Linked DNA regions of Drosophila melanogaster. The gene in region 1 interacts genetically with each later gene. Each region holds a gene or a part of one and is shown in the gene's direction. Other genes may lie near its edges. The genes, in order: hep, Pvf1, kay and Syx7.

Region 1 (4,914 bases):
GGCATCAATGGTTTTGGCAATGGAGTCGACGAGGTAGCCTAAAAGTCAGTCCAATATTAGAATGATTACAGTGGCAAGAAGTCACAGAATGCCAGCCCACCTGAGATGCCAAAGTCACAGATCTTGACCTGGCCGGCCCGATTGATCAGTATGTTCGAGGGCTTGACGTCCCGATGAATGACTTTCAGTTGAGCGTGCAGATAGTGCAGCGCACTGACCACGCTCATGGCAATCTGTAAAGCAAAGGCAGTAGTACGGTAATAGTATAGTGGCGATTGCCCGATAAGATTAGACCCGCCCCCAATCCTCCCCAGCTGACCTTGCCCAGCACGCTTTCCTCCATTCGCAGATCGTGAAGGAAGACCTTCGGATAGAACTTGTCCAGGCTGGTGCTCATCACCTCCATGCAAATCCAGACATCGCCCTCGCGATACATCGCACCATAAAAGTGGACGGTGTAGGGGCAGTCGCTGGATCTCATCGATATGTCCAAATCCATTACAAGGCGGTGCTGTTCTCGAATATTTACGGTCATGGGTATGCGTTTGACGGCCAGGACCGTATCGGTTTGCTTATGGCGCATCTTATCCACGATGCCATAGGCGCCACGGCCCAGATCGCAGATCTTCTCGAGACTATCTGCATCGATGTCAAAGGTCCGGTCGCCAATTTGGATGGTGGCCCGCGAGTCCAGGTTGCGTGGCGGGACTCTAAAAGGATTGCCGAATGTAGTTCAATTCACAATTCGTTTCTGGCCAGGATTTGACCATTTTGACTTACATGGCGGCCTCTGGCTCCTTGGCAATGGTAAAGGGCGTGAGGCGGTGGCGTTTGGACATTTTGGTAGGCCCTTCTATATCCTATATCCTATATGCTATATGCTATATATACCCTCTCCTCTCCACGACTTTCCTTGGTGTTTTCTGGCGGATTCTGCAAGACTTGGCGGTTCGGTGCGAATCGGATGCGATGCGGTGCGGCTATTTTTACCGCATTTGGTCAGGTCAGGATTCGGATGCGGGTCGGTGATATGGGGATCGGATCGGTGTGGATCGTGTGGCCCGGGTTTTGCCGCCCAACCTTTCGCTATTGCCTTTGCTTTCCTTTCCGCACTTTTTGCACTGTTCACCGATCGCTTTTCGCTTCTCTTCTCGTTTTTCTCTCTTTTCCACTAGCGCTGGCCAGCCGCAGTTGGTCCTATCGATATATCCCAACGAGTGCAGCTATAGTATCGTCATACAAATAAATCGAAGTGCCTCGATAATAAATTTGCTTCCACCTGCAACGAATTTAGATAATTAAGTTAGGTATCGATTATATCTATATCTCTTTGTAAGCCTTCTAGAAAGTTGTTCCGTATATTCTTCATACCTATTTTTTAATGTTTGTTTATTTTCTTTAATTTTTTATTTATACATTTATAGACATTTATTTTAAGGGAAAACTTAATAAGTTCTAGCCAAGTGATGCCCATCTTAAGTTGCATTTCGGTATATTTATGATTCTTTTTAGCACTTTGGTCACTCCGTTTTCGATACGTAATGTTGCAAGTTTGACTGAACATATAGAATTCGATGTTTTAGAATTGTACTAAAATAATTTATTATTTTATTAATTAATAAATAGGTAGACCTTATATTATTATTTTAAGTACAAGAACAACGAAGTCTCTCGAATCGACCAATTTGAATTTGAAAAATCTATTATAGTTATATTATATTTGTATGAAATATCCTCTGAAAATTATTCTATCTCGGTAAAATAAAATCCTACATAGTTTTAGATGCCGTTCCTAGTTCGAAAACTGTTTCTGAGGTGCCGATGTTTTGCAAACCATCGATAGGCACGAAAAAAGATATTAAGAATTATCGGCGAAGAACCATCGATGGCTGATGCATCGATGTTTTTTTACATCACTATTGTACACGCGATTTAGGCAGCAAAAACGTACAAAAGCGAGTGATCAAATTGTGCCAGTGATACCGCCGCCCGCGGTCGCGAAACGAATCGATTGCAGAAGTGCGACAAACAGCGCCGCGAAAGGAAAACAACCGATGAAATATTCTCCCAAAAAAGGAGGAAAAAATCGCAAGTTGTTGTTGCCGTTGCTGCTGAAAAAGAAAGAGAGAGAGGGCGCTGCGTGTATGCCTGTGTGTGTGCGTGTGTGGGGGTGAGGATGTCTCTCTCTAATGCACAGTGACTGTGTTTTCCTTTTTTCGATTTTGTTTTTGTGCCCCCCCTTGGCAAACAACAAAAGTCCAAGCAATCCTTTATTTTTGCAAGTGTAAAGTTTACAGTGTATGTGTGCCGCCGAACAACAACAACATCAGCGACAAAACAAACAGGGCGCACAGCAAAACAATTCACACACACACGCACCCTCCCCCGCCTGCGCGCGCTTGTGTGTGTGTGAGAGAGAGGGAGTGAGTGAGAGGAAAATCGAAGAAGTGCTGGCCAAAAAACGGCGAAAAAAATTTAATAAATACCAAAATCCAACGATACTAGCAACTAACTATAAAAAATCGAACCAAATCGACTCGATATAATGTCCACCATTGAGTTCGAAACGATCGGCAGTCGGCTGCAATCCTTGGAGGCAAAGCTCCAGGCGCAGAATGAGTCCCACGACCAGATCGTCCTCTCCGGTGCGCGCGGCCCTGTCGTTTCCGGTTCCGTTCCATCTGCCCGCGTCCCGCCCCTGGCGACATCCGCATCCGCAGCCACATCCGCCACCCACGCACCTTCCTTGGGCGCAGGTTCCGTTTCCGGATCGGGTATCAGCATAGCCCAGCGTCCAGCACCTCCAGTTCCTCATGCGACGCCCTTCGGCAGCGCCAGCGCCTCGTCATCATCCTCATCCGCATCCGCATTTGCATCCGCAGCACCGGCGACGGGCACCTTCGGTGGAACATACACCCCGCCGACAACTAGAGTGTCGCGAGCCACGCCCACACTGCCCATGCGTAAGTCCTCTTTTCGTTAACTTCCTACTAAATCTTTAATATATAAAATTAATTGGGATCAACTAGAAAAACACTGTAGTTACCTGAATCTTTGAAAATCGTTGAAGAAAAATATAACAAAATATAATGTCACAACTAAACTCCATGTACCAGGGAATACTCTAAACCGCTATCTAAAAATGATAGCTTATCAAACTGCGTACTGTAACTCAAAATTTTCCAACGAGACTTTCCCGATTCGAATATTCGATAATTCTCTACTTTCGAAAGTAAATCGTTGTCGAAAAACAGTTTTGGCCGCCAAAAACGTGGTAAAACTTTCCAAGTAAATTTCCAAACGCACAAACAACATTTTTGATATTAATTCGCAGAAAGATCAATGTTTTATCGATCGAACATTAGACAGGTGAAATCTTTATTGATCCTCTGTGACAGGTGTGGATTTAAGCCAACATTTCTCTGACCGCAACTGTAGACAGTTTGTTAAGTGGTAATAAAAGTGGGCTGAGAAAAATCGTGATCCCCAAAAATGGTCACCAAAAATCTATATATACCGTACCGCCAACCGCAAGCCACAAAACCATCTTTTGTCCGCATTTGTGTAAATATTTTGTTAATAAATTGTCATTGCCCAATAAGCTGTGTATGTGCGCGTGTGTGTGTGTACATACATGTATGTGTGCTTAAATTGTGATAAGAGAAGTGCTCTTTTCTTGGCTTTTCCCATTGCTATTGCCATTGGGTTTACTTTGGAGCATTTGGATGCCGCCAACAAAGGGCAAACGCTATCGATTCCCCGACTGCATAACAGCTGCTCATAATCCCCCATTCCAGCACCTCAGCAGCGCCCCGTCAACCCCGTAGCTCTGCCGCTTTTCCCCCCCTCCGATTTCCCGTTCTGTTTTTCCGATTGCATAGATAAGACAGGCCAAGTGCGAACACCAAAAGCGTACCCAACTTGTTTTCGGCCTTTTGTTGGGCCAAACAAAAATAAAAAGAAGTCAAATCTACAGTGGTATTAACAGCTGTGAACCGCGTCAATTTATTTTCGCCTCGATTAGATTAACAATTCCTGGTACCATAACTGTTTGATACATGAACCCCAGAAAATGCCTAATGGGTTTTTGAATAATCAAATACATTTCGATTCGATTAGATTAGTAGTGGTTAATAGTTTCCGCGAATTTCAGGGGTACTTAAAATCACACCCAAATTTTAACAGTGTAATCAGCTATTGAATAGATTTTCAAGTTCGTGGTACATAATGAGCGAGCAAAAGTTAAATGAATAAATAGCTAACAAAATATAACGGTCTATATGTTAATTTATCAGAACAAAATTGGTTTATTAAAGACAAAAGTTGTCGTTATTCGATTATTTATGAGGCTTAAATTGATAGAAATTTTAAATTTTTCATGTAAGAGATGACGTTATTGTGCCCACGGTTGTGAGACCACCCACCGCCTTTTTTCGTTTCTTTTCCCCTTCCTTTTGTTATACATTTAAGTTTTTGCATATTTGTCTTGTATATTTTTCTTATTGGATTTTCATCTGCCATCAAGTGTTGTTATTTATTTACTTACATACTTTTTATTTACTTTTTGCATGTGTGCGTCTCTCTACTCGCGTTTGGTGCTCTCTTCCTCTCTCGCTCTCCGCCATTGGTTACTTTTTGGCATTTCCGGAGTAATGTCTTGATATGCCCGTTACTGTTGTTGTCATTTTTTTTGGGCCTCACATATTCCCACCTCCGCCGCACCCTGCCCACATTCGTTCATCGGACATTGTGCCGTGTCTCCTCTTTCGCATGTTTACAAATAGCGTTATTTTTTATGACGTGCTGTTGTTGTAGTGGCTAATTGTTGAATTGAATTGCTGCCAGGGAAAAAAAAACTTCGCAAACAAAAACAAAATCGCTCTCATTCGCTCTTCCTCTTCATGCACACACACA
Region 2 (4,946 bases), 5.7 Mb from region 1:
TTCTCTCGTCATCTGGCCGCCAAGCGGCACGAGCAGCAGTGCTCCGTCAGGGTGAGGCGTCTTTTCGTCTGCCCCCACTGCCTGACGCTTTTCGGCGAGGAGGCCCGGCTGGAGCGGCATCGGGAGCGAAAGCACAACGATGGCCAGTTCCTGTGCCTGCAGTGCGGCAAGAAGTACGCGTCAGCCACGTTTCTTTACCGTCATGTTGCCAGTTGGCACGGCCAGCAGTCGCTGTTCTACTGCGACATGTGCACGGACAACTGCAACGACGTTAAGACCTTTAGCGGGATGCTGGAGCTGCAGGAGCACGCCGAGGAGGTGCATCGCCTGCGTACCCTGAAGTCCACGGCCAGTGATGCAGGTAGGTATTCTGCTTACGAGTAGTTGTGATGTTAATGGCATACCCTGCTTAATAATACTATTCAATCCGATCCCTGCAGACAGCCAGGTTGATGAAATGGAGGATCTTGAGATGCTAGAGGAGAACATTGAGAACATACTGCCCAGCATCGACTGGGACGACGATCTCACCTTTGGCTGGCCCACCGACCTGGACAAGGAGTCGTGCATTGTGAACGCTAAGCCGAGCGTTTTCGTGTGTCCCTTCTGCGCCAACGGATTCCCCGGCAGTCTGAGCCTGGTGCGGCACCTGGAGCAGGTTCACGAACGCAGTGCCCTGGACTGCTGCTACTGTGGCAAGAGCCATGGCAGCCGAGAAGCCCTGCGGTCCCATCTGCAACGTGTTCACATCCTCTTGCGCGGTCATGTGTGCGGTATTTGCCAGGCGGACTTCGCCACTGCTGATCACCTAAAGAAGCACGTTAACAGTCTGCACCTGGACCACCGACCGCATCTGTGTCCCACGTGCGGAAAGAGATTCACCCAGCGGTGCCACCTCACCGATCACATAAAGACGGATCGCGGCCATGGACACGGCACTTACACCTGTGAATTCTGCGTGCGGCCCTTCTTCCGGGCCATCGATCTCGAACGGCATGTGTGTGAGGAACATCCGTAGGGCAGTCAACCTAGCCGGAATCGTAGATACCTGAGCGACATCTCACGTCCAGAACTACGATTAATATATACTTAAGCAATGGATAAATGTAACGTTTTAATAGCGTTAATATTTTGAATTTATATCCTAGTCATCGGAAATGTTTTTCCAAACGAACTTGAATTTAAAATCGTATTTTATTTTTTGCTGTAAAATTAATGCTTATGAGACGATTTACATTTACATCTTAGGAACTATAGACATAAGCGAATAGTTACTTTAATATAGCAAGCAGATGGCTGAAAGACAATGTACTTATATGAATAAAAAAATATCAATACATGAAGTCAGGTTAATAGAAACGGGCACAATTGAAATATTTTCTAAGGAAAGTTTGAAAGAATGAAAGATTGCCTAAAGAAAGTTTACAGATTATTGCTGCGTAGTGTTAACATAATGTAAAATGTCACACTAAAATGAATACTTTGAAAATAACGATGAAATAGTGCAGCTTTATGAGTAATATTTATCATCACCACAACACTGATTAATCAGATAATATACTCCATTTCCACCAATAGACAGATAATAGAATGTAACATATGTATTGTTCATGTTGCTCTATATATATTTAAATTTAAAATCTCAGCGAGCCTCCTGAGCGAGGGTGTGCGTAAGTCGAGATCGCGCTCTCCCAGCGTTAACTGTTAACAGTGAAACCCATCCGCTCCGCTCCAGGCCCCAAGATCGGGAGAGTAATGAGCGGAGCGGTTCGGTTCGGATTGGATGTGAGTGTTGCGGTACAGAGCGGAGAGCGCAATGCTGCGACAGCTGGGTACTGTTACTGTTACTGCAACAGTTACTGCTACTGCTATTGTTATTGGCGACTGTGGTGATAGGGGCGCAGTAACTTGGCCCACACCGACGAGTCGACAGTTTTGAACGGAACTTGCTGGTGCTTGGATCGCAGCTCCGCCGATCTCCGCGAGGCTAACACCACAAACTTAAACGCGCTCAAATATATATCACAAATTATTAAATACAAAACCCCCCATTTGTGCACACATATTTTTTGTTGTTTGTTTTTCGTTTCGTGCTAACCGATTTGTGCCATTGAACTTCGTGTAAAACATAATATTTAGAATTTTCAAGCCGTGTTTCCATAAAGTAAGTGGTGCTTCTCAAAATTTCAACATTTCAACACAAATCAGCAGCGTAAACAAACAAGCCAGCGACCCTCGACTACATCTAACATTTAAACTGAAACTGCTTTTTGTTATTGTTTATATGGTTTTCCACTTCTGCCCCACTAAAGCCGGGCCTTTTAAAAAGCTCTCCACAGCGCACAGCCTTTTGTTATATATATGTTTTTTTTCCCCAATAGCTTTCGAGCAAAACCAGAACACCATTTTATCATTAACAAATGCAAAAAAAAAAAAAACCAAACAAAACAAAAAAGTACAATTGCAATTAACGTTTTTTGATCTGGCTGTTGAGTTATTCCAGTGGCTGTGTGGAAAACCCAGTGAAAATGTTGCGCTTGAATTCCTAAAAACAAAGTCTAAGCCGGGCTTAATCGTTATTCAAATCAAACTACGTCAAATCGCGTGCGAATATAAGATTTGTGAATCACAAATGAAAGTGAACTTGGCTTAAATGTAGTCGCTGCCTTAAACTGCAATATATCAAGTTGTTTATGATCGAGTTATTGCGGATAAATCGTCAATAAAGTTCAATAAACTAATGCTGGCAATGTGTTCAAAGTTCCTGTTTTTTTTTTTTTTTTTTTAATTTATAACATTTTAGAACAAAAATGCCATTTTTAAGAAATAATTTATTTTGAAATGCACATTTGCGGGTTTTCATTAAAAGAAAACACGTTTAATGATAATGTTTGCTCACAAAAGTCACACATTATATATTATGTGATGAATATTAAAATATTATAGTAAACGTTTCTAATTATAACGTATATTGTATGAAACAACTGGAGAACTTTGATATCCTAGAAAGGAAACTATACCTTGAGCAAGTGACACCTTCACTAAACTTAAAAAAGAAAACAATTATTTTAGATATGCCCTAGTTTTTTAAAAACTTGTTCATATTTCCGCCTTCCAAAAGTTGAAATCGGTTAATCTTAGACTCGCATTCCAGACGTCGCCGTTGACCCGATCCCTTTGGGAGCCCTTTGGGAGCAAATCCATAATTTATCTTGTAGAGCTTGTAGAACCCACTGCCCATTGTCCATTGCCCATTGCCCTCCTGTTGGTCCAAGTTTTGTGTTTTCTTGTTTGTTGTTTGCTCTACTGCTCCCCCGTCTACATGGGCCCATGGATGCAGTGGAGTTATTATCATGTCTATATTGTAATTGATTTGCCTGAGCGAATGACCAGACGGGAAGACAAGCTATGGGCCTGTTCCCTGATCTGCCACGCCTCCGCCCGCGCCGCGCCCGCGGTCTTATCATTAACGCTTGAGTCTTCCTTTTGTATTGGAATTCTTGTGCGGGGAGCAATTGCCTGGCGGGAGGCACTCCCTTCGCGTAATTAAGGACCGCCCAAGTGGGGATCGCGATTCCGAGATGATTCCTTTTGGTTCCTCGCCTTCTCCTCCTTGAGATTACTTGATATGATTTGATATCTTCGGGTGACGCACCGGGAAGGAATGCCTCGAAAGTGTGAGAATAAATACAGCTGACACCTGCGCAAACTAAATACAGATCATATGGGTATCGTCTATCGACTATATGATACCTGAGGCATGGATATATGCATATGATAGCCTTATAAGTTTAATATTCCTAAAGAAAGCTTGTAAACAGTGGCTTGATTGCGTTTTTTGAAACTAAATGCTGATCAGATTTCGCCAAAGTTAGCATACCTTTTTTTAGTACAGGGTACTAAAAGCAATCAGTATGAGGAGTAACAAAAGCCTGTCGCTTTCGCAATAAGTACATATTCGCATTCATATATATAATTTAAAAACGTGCTTAATTTTGTAATCTGCCTTTCCCCCTTACCACTACTCCCATCTATCCGTCTCCCTGTGGTCGATCTGTAATATCTGCGCTGACGAAATGCCTCAGTAGCAACAACAACAAAAACAACAACAACTGATAACTGATAACTGACTAGACGCACAAGTTAACCGTTGAATCGGGTTAAAGAGACCTTCGATGTGACAGGTTGTGCAATCACCAGCGGCCCACCCGTCGAACGAACATCCTATAGAGGTTTTAAGAATCTGCATTATATTTTGAATCTTGTTTTCAGTTTGTAAGATCTATTGAAATTCTTTGCAGATAGATTAGTAAATTACTTGATATCTTTTTAATTCCAATTGAAAATTATTCCGAAACTGTTAAGCTAACAGCTGTTACTCCACACAAAGCTTGTGCAGCAGCCGCCAAAAAAAAAAATAAAAACAGAGCAACAACAACAAGACGGCACAGAGGAATGTCAAGATGAATCACACAGGTGTGCGTGACACCTGGCAACAGAGAAAGAGAGAGGGAGGGAGAGCGATGAAAAGAATAACAACGTTTGGTCTGTCATATCAATCGGTATTTGCTTAACTGTTAAAAAGAGCCAAGAAATGTAAGGAAAACAGAAAGGAAAACAATGATAGCTGAATTCCGTGTGCGTGTGTGTGTGTTGATTGCAGCCCACAAATAAACACTTGTGCACCCATTGCACCTAAAACGCAAGTGCAGAAACATACACACAAATTGAAACTCCCGAGGAGTACCGTTACAAGGCGAGCTTAAAGCTATTTTTAACACCATCCGATCTTGCTCTCCTTCCCCACCCCTTTCCACACCCCTCTTACCCATTCTGCTATCTCCTTTCCTGTGTTGTTTTTTGCACCACTTCTCACTTTGCTTTTCTTCGTCTTGCCCTCATACACTGCACGAAACCAGGATCACTTTAAAACGCTTTGTCCGCAT
Region 3 (7,438 bases), on another chromosome or scaffold:
TTTGTTTTTTTTTGTGCCGTCATTACGTCATTGTCAGGCTAAAATTGGTCTAAAAATAGCCCAACACGTCAGCTGAAAGCAGAAGGCAAAGTCTCGGGCCCGAGAATTTCTTAGCCACTCAACTTGTTGCATCTTCACCTTCCTCCTCTGCCCAGCGTTTAAAAACATGTGAATGTGTTTTTGAACTAATTAGAGCCAAGGTCAAAGTTGATGGTCTAATCAAAATGATAGCGCGGATTTACAGGCAATTGATAAGTTTGAGTTTTCAGGGAATTCCTTTGGGAAGTGGCAATTTTTAGGTTTTGAAATATTTTTGTAAGTTGCAGTCACCATACATTTATTTAGGGGCCACTTTGGTTTGGCTTGAACCGCCCGCAAATCAAATTTGCAGCAGTCGCGTGTATTAGTCAGCAATTTGTTGCTTTTCGCTACGTCAGTGTTTTACTTTTTCTTTTTTTTTTTTACTCTCCACTGCTGGCTGTTCGATGTTCGCTGCTCGTTTCATTTGGTTCATAATTGACCCCCAGATGTGAACTCGGTGTCCGGAGATATGACTCTGTCCAACGTTCCGATAGGAGAATCGAGATCGCCATCCGAGCTGGCTGGCAAGCAATTTAGACAATTCAATTCGCCGCGCTTGATTGCCAGCATTCTATATCATCACTTGTTTTGCATACGTACATTTTCCAAATTGACTGATTCATCATCGGCTAAATGCGGTTCATGTTCGCGAGGGACAAGTTCAAATGGCAAAAAAGTGGGTTAAAACGAAAGTAGCCAGCCAAACAAAGGTGGCCAAACAGCCAAGGCGGCCGAGTTGAAAGTAAATTTCGCATACGAAATTAAAAAGTAAATATATCACAAAGAATAAAATCGATTGTTTGCTGTCAATAAGGGAACGGCCTTTGGGATTGGGAAACACGGCTGCGATAAGATCGTCAAATAAATAAGCACACAAGCCGCTCGAACTCGCTGCACGGAGAGAAAAGAAGGCATACTACTTCAAAAATGTAGCCCCAGTGCAACTGGTATGTGTGTGTGTGTGTGTTGCTCTTAGCCCACAACAAAAGCCAGCAATTAGCGTATTGGCCAACTTGCTGGCGACGGAAATAAACGCTCTTGGCGAGACAGGGGGTCTGAACTGAACTGAACTGAACTGAAAACATAGTTAATGTGGATGTGCCACACGCACACACCTGTTCGTGGGACATCTGTCGAATCGGACATGTGTATATATGTATGTAGCTTATGTTTACTCGGAATCATCGCTTTTGGCCAAAACATTGGGCCTGATTTATGGGCAACTGAAAGGCTTTTCCGTGGAAGCGAAGAATGAGCCTCTGGCAAGTTCGGCAAATCGGAAGCAGAAGCATATACATATGTACATAAGCCACCACCACATTCTACTATAGCTAACTAAATGTACATATTTCGCTTTGAATGCGGCAAAAGCGAGCGTGGTCGTCGTGTGGGCAGCCGCTCAATTAAGAGCAGCCAGCGTTTAGGATCATTTGATTTCCCAGCGGCTGTCTTCTAATTTGAGCAGCCAGCTCGCACAACACACGCCCAGCAGACAGCAGACAGCTCTCCGGATTCGGATGCGGGTTCGGGTTCTCTAGTAGTTCTCAAGATATATAAATATATATATGATATGTATATATATACATATATATGCATACATCTGCGGCGATCTCTCGATCGCGATCGTTGCCAATTTCGCTCGCCGGAGATTCTGATGCGATTCAGTCGCAAACGAACAACGAACCATCGAAGTTTAGAAAATATCTAACAATTAAAAGCGATCGCGCGCGCGCTTTTCCTCGAATCGCATCGCATCGAATCGAAACGCGAAACTCAAACAACGAAACGAAAATAAATTTGGAAAACTGCAATTGTCGTTGGGTTTTCGGTGCGCGTGCATTGCCAAAACGAATCAGGAGCAAAAAAAACGAATCAGTCGGCTATATGTACATATATACATATAGACGCAAAACAACGCACATTTCTCGGCTGCAAGCGCGTGGATCGAAATATATATGCCATACGAATATACATATATATATATATATATATGTAAATATAGCCAAACCCAGAAATAAAAGCGCAAAGGGAGGCATAACACTCGCTGTGTTGAGAGGCGTTGCCCATGGCCGAGGAATTTCTGAATACAACAAATGCAGCATTAATTGAACTAGCTCAAGGCTCCATGTCCGTGTAAATCTCTATAATTATATAATAATCGAATTTGCGGCTCACACAGTGGAGCGACTTAAACTGGACACGTGTCGCTGGATTTTGGGCCTCGCACACTTACGATAAACTGCGTCGATTATGAGCGCTTTCGCCGAGCGGAATGTGCGTTTCAATCCTTTGCGAAATCAGCAAACGCTTATCGTTAAGCGGCTGAGACCGCCGGAGAGCCAAAACTTCAAGAACTGAGCAATCGAACAACGAACATATACGAAATCTGCTCACGGCTCGCAGCTAGCAAGAAGTCAAATCAAACGAACCCTTTTTCTTTATTAGGAAAGAGCCAACGCAGAAAGCAAACGAAATACACAATACACACAAAAAAAAGAAGCTATGAAACAAAGCCAAAAACGAACGAATTTCTAAGCAACTAGAACAACACTGCGACAACAAACAGCATAGGAGCATCCAAACGAACGGAATTATAAAGACAAGAAAGGATCATCAGCACATTGTTAGGAAACTTTGGGAACAGAGTCCCAATTTGTACATATACTCTAGTTTAGCTAGTAACTAGATTCTTAGATTGTTGAATTGTTTTTGTTGATTTTGAATACAATTCGCATATATCATTGTTGTCCCAATTGTTGTGTTAGCTTAGCTAGGCTAAGAACCCCAACGAATACTAGTCAGCCGCCCAACTGTGCGTATACGCAACGCGAGTGCGTATACTTAATATTTAGGTTTAGATCGATAAGCAGCGAACAAATGATGAAAAATCTCAACGGTAGGACGCACAATGCGTGCTACCATCCCTACTACCACCAATCGCTGCATTTTGCTCAGCAGCAGCAGCAGCAGCAGCAGCATCATCTGCAGCAACAGCAGCAACATATGCAGCAGCAGCAGCAGCAACAGCAAGCGCCGCAGCAACAGTTGCGTCATCAGCAACGGCAACTGCCCACGCAGCCAGCCTACCAGCAATCGCAATCGGTTGCCCACAATGCTTTTCCACTGCGCAGCAGCAGCAACAATTATGGCCATGTTGCTAGCAGCGCCTACGCTGCCAGCAGCGGCAGTCACAACAGCAACAATGCGGCTGCCATGGCCGCCGTCTGCCAAATGCAGAATTTTTTCAACCAGCAACAGCAGCAGCAGCAGCAACTGGAGTTCAACAACAATTGCATGCCCATTAATTACTACCAGCAGCAGCAGCAGCAACATTACCCTTCCGAGTCCCAGTCCTCCGCCTCCGGCTGGAATCCCGAAACCCCTGGGCAGGCGCAACTCGCCTTGACGGCCACAACATGCAACACCACTGCAGCTGCAACATGCAACACCACTGCAGCTGCAACAACGAGCACAACTGCAACATCTGCTGCCGCTGGCAGCGACAACAACCACAGCGACAACTTTGCAATGGACGCCAGTGAGATAGCCACTTTCCTCGCCAACGAGCTTTTCCTACAGCAGGTACCACAGATCGATCGATGATGATGCCTCCGATTCTGGTCGAGATTGGGATAGATTTGGGCGCGAAACAATTGGCAAGCGGCATGCGTACTTAATCATCGCCGAAAATAGAACAAATGCGGAACAACAAAGGGGTGGGCAAATATAAACAAAGTGATGGATTGGCCGCCTCTCTTTCGGTTTCTTCATCTCTCTTCGCCTCTTTTTTTTTCGTTTTTTGTTTGGCCAAAAACACGTTCGCTAATTCGCTAGAAATGTACGGATAAGCAAGAGGTCTTACAGACTTAGCAATAGCTTTTGATGTTGACTGATATCTGAACTCGACCCAAATTACTCATGTGATAAGAATAAATTCCCAAACATCCTTAAGCTATTCGCGGGCAACACTGCGTATGCGTGATATATGTATACTGATATGGCATTGTAGAGGGTTTCGTGCTTGTCATGAGCTTTAATGAGCGTTAATAGTAATCCATCTTCTCAGATACTTGCACTCATAGATGTCTTTACTAATCATGCACCTTTTCTGCTCTTGCAGCTCGGCAACTTTGAGACCGGCCAGAGTGTTCTCACACTGACGACGCCCACGTTGACGCCGACCACCACGCGCAACATCGAGGACACACTGGGCCACTTGCTCTCGGACACGCAGACCGATCGTGTGGCTGGTTGCGCGGGATTTGCAGTGCCAAAGGTGCTACCCAATGCCATTGATGTCCTGGGCATGGGTATTCCCACCGGTGTTTCGTCGCTCCCACTTCAGCAGACATTCGATTTGAGCCTGGGGCAGGGCAGCGAGTCCGAGGACTCCAACGCTTCGTACAACGATACGCAGATGAACGAGGAGCAGGACACGACCGATACTTGTAAGTGAAGCTGGCACGAATTGCTCCGAATGTCTACTAACTCCCTTTTATTTCATACGCCTGCAGCAAGTGCCCATACGGACAGCACCTCGTACCAAGCTGGCCACATCATGGCGGGCAGCGTGAACGGCGGCGGTGTCAACAACTTCTCCAATGTCCTGGCCGCCGTGAGCTCTAGCCGCGGATCGGCGTCGGTGGGCAGCAGCAACGCGAATACCTCAAATACGCCGGCTCGTCGTGGCGGTGGCAGACGCCCCAACCGGTCGACGAACATGACCCCGGAGGAGGAGCAGAAGCGGGCCGTGCGCCGGGAGCGGAACAAACAGGCGGCGGCCCGTTGCCGCAAGAGGCGCGTGGACCAGACCAACGAGCTCACCGAGGAGGTGGAGCAGCTGGAGAAGCGGGGCGAGAGCATGCGCAAGGAGATCGAGGTGCTGACGAATAGCAAGAATCAGCTGGAGTACCTTCTGGCCACCCACCGGGCCACCTGCCAAAAGATTCGCTCCGACATGCTGAGCGTGGTCACCTGCAACGGTCTGATTGCCCCGGCCGGACTCCTGAGTGCAGGGAGCAGCGGCAGCGGCGCGAGCAGCCATCACAACCACAACAGCAACGACAGCAGCAACGGCACGATTACGGGCATGGACGCCACGCTGAACTCCACCGGGAGGAGCAATTCACCCTTGGATCTCAAGCCGGCGGCGAACATCGATAGCCTGCTGATGCACATCAAGGACGAGCCACTCGATGGCGCCATCGACTCAGGATCCAGCCTGGACCAGGACGGTCCGCCGCCCAGCAAGCGCATCACCTTGCCGCCCATGTCCACGATGCCGCACGTTCACTTGTCCACGATATTAACGCCCACCGGCGCCTCGTCGGGATCTCTGCAGACGCCGATCACGAGCACGGCGCCCGGCGGATTCGGCAGCGCCTTCCCGGTGACCTCCAACGGCAGCAGCATCAACAACATCAACAGCATCGGCAACAACATGAACTCTCCCACGCTGAATGCGCATAACAAGGTGCCTAAGGAGCGGCCCAATACGCTGGCTTTCCAGCGTCCTCTGGGCCAGATGCACCTCACCATGGCCAACAACAAGGCGGGTGGGCCCACGCAGATCCAGGGCGTGCCCATCCAGACGCCCTCGACCGGCACCTTCAACTTCGACTCCCTGATGGACGGCGGCACTGGGCTAACGCCCGTCTCCGGACCCCTCGTACCGAACAGCTCCTCCACGAACAAGCACCCGCTGGAGCTGCCCACGCCCACCGCCGAGCCGTCCAAGCTGGTCAGCTTATAACCGGACCGGATCTGGGACGGGGATGGGGGCCGAGTCAGGATTAAGTTAAGTTTTATATAGTTGGCAGGCAAACAACGGAAGGAAACCGCGAAGCACTTTTCTAGTTGTAGGAGATGTTTTCATTTTTGTAATATGCTGTAATATGCGTAAACGTGACGAATGTGTTGTTTCGTTAACTCTAATGTTTTTGTATTATTATCTTTATTATGGTTAATTTATGATTTCGCTATGTCTTTTACATACGCCGAGGAGCTATGTACATATGTTATGTACTTGTAATTTGTGCAATTTTCAAACCTCTTCATTGCGCGTTGTATATTTTCAAAAAATATAAGAACGCGAACGCGAACGCGAACGACCGACGATGCATGATGAGAATGATAAGGATAATGATGATAATAGGGCGTGTAGATTTGCAGGATGCGTTGTGATATTTATTATAAAACGAATACAAAAGATGCGAGGATGAAACAAAGTAGAAAGCAAACAGGAGCGTCTAATGAAAGGAACTAAGCCGGTTTTAAAATTGTACATTTAAACGAATCGTAAAGCGTAAATATACTATAAAACAAAACAAAGTGAATATATATTCAGCATACAAACTAAATACAATGCCTTGAGAGAGAATTAAGAAATGCAAACCTTTATATATAGAGATCTACATACATATATGTATGCATGTACATTTAAAGCTAAACAATAATGGCGTTGAAGCGAGTTTTATATTGAGCAAAAGCAAATGTGAAATGAGATAAATATACTTATTGTGTACTCTGTAAGCTGCAGTAGAAACCAAAATATATTTTTACTAAACGCAACATTGCGCTATTTTCAAATACCATTTATAAGAAATGACAAAAGCAAAGCAATTATTTAATATGTAATTATGTATTATGTATACCTATATCTACCTACCCACAACCTTAAATCAAAAAACCCAAAACGATTCAACAAAAGCTGATCAGGTAAAGCAACTCTCGCCAGTTTCCACACTAAATTCTCAGAATATTCAAAATTTTAATCTATACAAAACCAAACCGATTGATAGCAAATAAATGCACTTATAAGGGCAGAAAAACACCAAAATTTAAAAATGAAATGGAATAAAATAGAAATAAAAAGACCGACAAAACCTAAAGACGATTTGTGGAATTATTTCTGAAGTTATAGCGATTCACATGACTTGCAAATGGGCTGGCTCGTCGTCAGGTAAACATATCAGGTAGATTAGGGTGGACCAACAAAGGCTGCATTCTCAATTTCTGCAGACTTCTTCAAGCGATTTGAAGTACTTACTTATGGAAGTAAACCTCATTGAGAAAATGGCTCTAATGTGAAAATGCGATCATTCAAGTTATGAAAACATTATGAGATAGAAACACCTAGTTGCTGCCATAAAGACCAGTCTGAAGGGCAGGTAAACGCAGCCGTGTTCTTCCACTCGTCTGATAATGGCACAAACGAGTATATATGTACATACAACACACGCTGCATATATTCATTTTCGGGTTTGCCTTATTTTGCATTTTTTTTTGTTTTTTTTGGGATCTGTTGCTTTCGGTGCAGCCACGAATCGCGGATCTCTGTTTCAGTTACTCGAGAAGC
Region 4 (4,610 bases), on another chromosome or scaffold:
AGAACTCCTTGCTCTTCAACTCGGAAATAGAGTCGAGGTCCCAGGATTGCTCTGAAAGTAATGCGATTTTAGCTTATTTCATTATAAATTAAGAATGCATATTATTCTGATTAATTGAAACCATTTTTTGTTACTAGCCGATATGCATACACATTTCAAGTACAACCTCAAGAATTTATCAATTCCAAGCACATGTTTCGTTTTACAAAACAAAAGCACAGACACAATTGCCATTGTTTTCCACTCCACTTTCGAATTAATCATTAAAAAGGGAAATTGCTTTCAGAAGATAGCACATAAATAAAACACCGAAAGAAACCTATGGAAATTAAGCATTAAAATTAATTCAAATTTAAATTTTAAAGTATTAGTCTTATATCCACTTTCGTTAAAACATTCTCCTTCGGAAAAAGTGATGTTTGACAGCTCTGTTAGCGGGTGTCAAATATTTAATTCAATTTACGAGTATTTTGCTGACGCCTTTTATACTCCGTTTAGCACTTGATTAATCAATTCTGCATATGTTTTGAGTTTGCTTTCGACCTGGCACACTCTCACTCGTTTTTCATTTATTCATTTCGGGTCTTTTGGGCCCGTTTCTGATCTCGGTCTTGACGTTACGCACCTGGCCCATATTTGTACTGGCTGCTACAGGCCGTGAGTTGGAGGGCAAGAGCCGCAAAGAACCGGAGAGCACGCATCGCACGGAATTTTGATGAACTAACTTTCGACTGGTCGGGGCGTTACGAAGTCTACGGATCGACTAAGCCGCATTTCGCAGTTGGAGGCTTATTTATACGAGCCCGGTAAGACAGGGACCGAAAATGCGAGTCGAATTATAAAAAAACACTGAGACAATAAATTAAAACCCGTCCCTGTATTATAAAGCTTCTAAATACACCTACCAACCGGAATTTCGGGATGAAAGAAAGGCATTTATGCCCTTATTCAAATTATGCAGCCAGCACAGCTTAGATTAAAATGATGTTCTCCAAAAATCAGGTTCGTTGCATTGGTCATTTGCATAATATCTTGCATCGCAGTAGGAGATGATGTAATTAGTGGATGCATCGAAGCAGCCTAATTCATTCTGCGATCTAAAGTTCATTAACCGTGCCAAACACCGGATACTGATAAATATCTCCAATACACTAATTTGTAACGTTAATTTGAATTAAGTTGCTTTTGATTTTTTTTATAAACGAGTTGCACTTATTTTGTCTACCAGTTATTTGACTTTTTTAAGAAAAGTAATAATCTTCAATTTTATTTCTGCTAAACAGGTTTCAAATACCCTGAGTTGTACAATGTTAAATTTTAAGTTTTGAATAACATTCTGGGTAAGCAAAATAGTTTTGTATACCTACATTATTATTAAATTTGGTATGAACATATTTATTGAACGGAAGGAAAACTGTCTAAAATTCGACTTATTTGTTTTATAAGGCATCATTGTTGGTCATTTTCATTTCTATACGACATTTTCCTAATCTAACATTTTAATTTTGGAGAAAAAGTGCAAAATAATAATTTATAATTTTGAATAATAACATTAAGCAGTTCATTTTAGACATGGATCGATTTTCAATAATAAATCTCAGGACTTATATACATTTTCGAGACAAAATATAGGGGGAAGAATATAATTAAAATGCAGTTCTATATATCTGCTATTTGAATGCCGCGCCAGATATCGATATAATTGAAGTGCTGTAAAGCGTAGCAAGGAAGTGATGCTAAACGCATCACGCGCTAAGGCACTTTTGGGTATTAGTCGAAAGTGACTTTCTCACAAGTTGGCAGTTCCATTCCAATTGTTGTAAAAACCTAGCTAAAATTTCAGTTTTGCGAACATTCCGCCTACTTAAATCAACAAATTTCAGATTGCGAAACGCGTAAAAAGTGCGAAGGAAATGCTCTAAGATCAAGGTCACCGGCGAAGGTCACCAACGACAGCTAGGGCAACCACAAAAGGTGTGTGGCTGTGCAGCAAACAAAGGGAATGCGAATTGCAAACATTCCGACAAACAGACAAACTAACAAACAAGCACGAATATAGAATATAGAATCAAGAACCTGGCTGAGACGCATAAAAGCGAATGTGATATAAGTGGGCCACGGGGCTAATTCGATTGTCTGTCTCTCCAGGAACAACTTGTCTCCAGCGATAACTCGAAGGTCATCAAAGTGTCTGCCTACGAAAGCATGGACTTACAGCATATGGAGAATGGTCTAAGCGGCGGGGGAGGAGGTGGCCTAAGCGAAATAGATTTCCAAAGGCTGGCCCAGATTATAGCCACCAGCATCCAGAAGGTGCAGCAGAATGGTGAGTGGCGTCGAAGCACTTGCCAACTTTCGCCTATGACTAATCTAGGTTTCTGTCTCTTTCGCAGTGTCCACGATGCAGCGCATGGTCAATCAACTGAACACGCCCCAAGATTCTCCGGAGCTCAAGAAGCAGCTGTAAGATGATTATCATTACGATCTCTTCGTTTGGAATTTAAACTGTCCCCATAGATAGAACCCATTGCAGATATACATCGATTATTCGAATATCTCTCAGACAAATCATAAATTCTAAAGACATAGTGAAGATCTCTATTGGGTGTTTACTCACAATGTCTAAAAATCTTCTTAAGCCAATACAGCCTTTTAATACATTTTGCGCACATCAACCGACCACATAAACCAACAGCAAAATAACATTGTAGTCAGTCATTGGTTTTGAAAGTTTAAACGTATCAGCACAGTGTGATTCACAAATCAAATCAATGTATAACGCACGATAAAAATAACAATCCCTTACTCCACAGCCACCAAATAATGACCTACACCAACCAGCTGGTGACCGACACAAACAATCAAATCAACGAGGTGGACAAGTGCAAGGAGCGCCACCTGAAGATCCAGCGGGATAGGCTCGTGGACGAGTTCACGGCGGCACTGACCGCCTTCCAGGTTTGTTTTTGTTCTCCCAGATAAGCAAATGGTTTTGTGAGTCATGCTGATTGTTTATCATTGGTATTTTTAGTCTGTTCAGCGCAAGACGGCGGACATAGAGAAGACGGCGTTGCGGCAGGCGCGCGGAGATAGCTACAACATCGCCCGTCCACCCGGCTCATCGCGTACCGGCAGCTCCAACAGTAGCGCCAGCCAGCAGGACAACAACTCCTTCTTCGAGGACAACTTCTTCAATCGCAAATCAAACCAGCAACAGATGCAGACTCAGATGGAGGAGCAGGCGGACCTGCAGGCCCTCGAGGAACAGGAGCAGGTCATACGGGAGTTGGAGAACAACATCGTGGGCGTGAACGAGATATACAAGAAGCTTGGCGCCCTGGTCTACGAGCAGGGACTGACGGTGGACTCCATCGAGTCGCAGGTGGAACAGACTAGCATTTTTGTCTCGCAGGGCACGGAAAATCTGCGCAAGGCGAGCTCTTACAGGGTAAGTGCCGCCCCTACAAGGTTATTATTTTAAATAATTTAAATATGTTGTTTATTAGAACAAAGTGCGCAAGAAGAAGCTTATTTTGGTGGGCATCCTGAGCGCCGTGCTGCTGGCCATCATCTTGATACTCGTTTTTCAGTTCAAGAATTAGAGCCTTCCGGCATCTCCGAATGATTCAAACCAAACTAGTAAATTGTTGTGAAAAGACAAGAGTTGCCGCATGCAGGCCCCTAAACCCCGTAATTCCCCACCCAATCCTTTGGACCTTAGGCGAGATTATGGCTTTAATCCTTAATCCAACTTCCAATACTGGCTGAAATCGAAAACTGCGACTCGTAGACGAAGATATAGTGTTTTGAGGAGTATTCACCGGCACGTGCATCTGTTATATTTGCTTTAAAAACAATTTTATATTTTATGTGTACTACTTTTATTATTACGCACCCTGTATATTGATTATTAGTATTGATTAACAACTGTTGGCTTCAAATTCTAATTATGTTCCGAAACTCATTCGCCAGCGCTTTGTATTGTATTGTATTGTATTTAGAGTTAAGAGGCAGAGGAAGCCATATATGCGATGGCATACACACATGTACGAAAAATGAAATAATAAACATGAAAATCGATCCTGCGTGCGTTGAAAACACTTGGAGCACTTCATTTAGGGCCCGACCTGAATGAATCAATGAATGGAACTCGCCAGCTCTTCTGGGCATTCGGAGAAGTGCATGGTCATCGACTCCTCCTTGGCTTAGCGATCATTAAGATTTCGTGTTGGCCATTGTTACGCATGCTTTAGCGGCTTAGGAGCTCCCATCTCCCGACTCCCAACCCGATCTCGATCCCAAAACATTGGTACCAATCCGACTATGTGTTCAGCGAGCGCACACTCTCCGATGGCACATTAATGCCGCGACAGACCTGGATGCGGTGGACCCACTTCAGCTTGCTGCATCGTTGAGGTGTGTCAGCCGGGGCTAAAGGGTTTCCTCGTCGCCGGACCCCATCTTCCTCCACATTTGAAATTCCAGCTCCGCAGGCCTGCATACAAATTGAGTTTAAATTTTTTGCCAATTCACTGACATTGATAGTTCGTTTGGGCATCATTTGTGTGGTGGCTTCTTATCCACTTGTTGGCATCGAGTGGTTTTCTCGC

Evidence for each region.
Region 2: of hep (region 1) and Pvf1, changing one enhances a phenotype caused by changing the other (phenotypic enhancement), as found in Drosophila melanogaster (one study listed by BioGRID).
Region 3: of hep (region 1) and kay, changing one suppresses a phenotype caused by changing the other (phenotypic suppression), as found in Drosophila melanogaster (2 studies listed by BioGRID).
Region 4: of hep (region 1) and Syx7, changing one suppresses a phenotype caused by changing the other (phenotypic suppression), as found in Drosophila melanogaster (one study listed by BioGRID).

Annotation. Positions count from the first base shown.
Region 1 is NC_004354.4:13,087,408-13,092,321, reverse strand, and holds the start of hep (hemipterous), read left to right. Parts: upstream 1-1,887; 5' UTR 1,888-2,545; coding exon 2,546-2,963; intron 2,964-4,914. Other genes in the region: lic (licorne), read right to left, coding at 1-38, 101-233, 320-710, 781-839. UniProt on the Drosophila melanogaster protein: Required for the epithelial cell sheet movement called dorsal closure (DC), which allows establishment of the dorsal epidermis. Controls the expression in the dorsal epithelium edges of another dorsal closure gene, puckered (puc).
Region 2 is NC_004354.4:18,830,783-18,835,728, forward strand, and holds the start of Pvf1 (PDGF- and VEGF-related factor 1), read left to right. Parts: upstream 1-1,899; 5' UTR 1,900-2,164; intron 2,165-4,946. Other genes in the region: CG7101 (uncharacterized protein), read left to right, coding at 1-361, 441-1,018.
Region 3 is NT_033777.3:29,787,192-29,794,629, forward strand, and holds kay (kayak), read left to right. Parts: upstream 1-1,744; 5' UTR 1,745-2,961; coding exon 2,962-3,663; intron 3,664-4,201; coding exon 4,202-4,529; intron 4,530-4,595; coding exon 4,596-5,833; 3' UTR 5,834-6,922; downstream 6,923-7,438. UniProt on the Drosophila melanogaster protein: Developmentally regulated transcription factor AP-1 binds and recognizes the enhancer DNA sequence: 5'-TGA[CG]TCA-3'. May play a role in the function or determination of a particular subset of cells in the developing embryo.
Region 4 is NT_037436.4:21,444,050-21,448,659, forward strand, and holds Syx7 (syntaxin 7), read left to right. Parts: upstream 1-1,784; 5' UTR 1,785-1,974; intron 1,975-2,111; 5' UTR 2,112-2,205; coding exon 2,206-2,326; intron 2,327-2,393; coding exon 2,394-2,463; intron 2,464-2,813; coding exon 2,814-2,958; intron 2,959-3,031; coding exon 3,032-3,448; intron 3,449-3,506; coding exon 3,507-3,602; 3' UTR 3,603-4,079; downstream 4,080-4,610. Other genes in the region: Alp1 (alkaline phosphatase 1), read right to left, coding at 1-51, 626-701.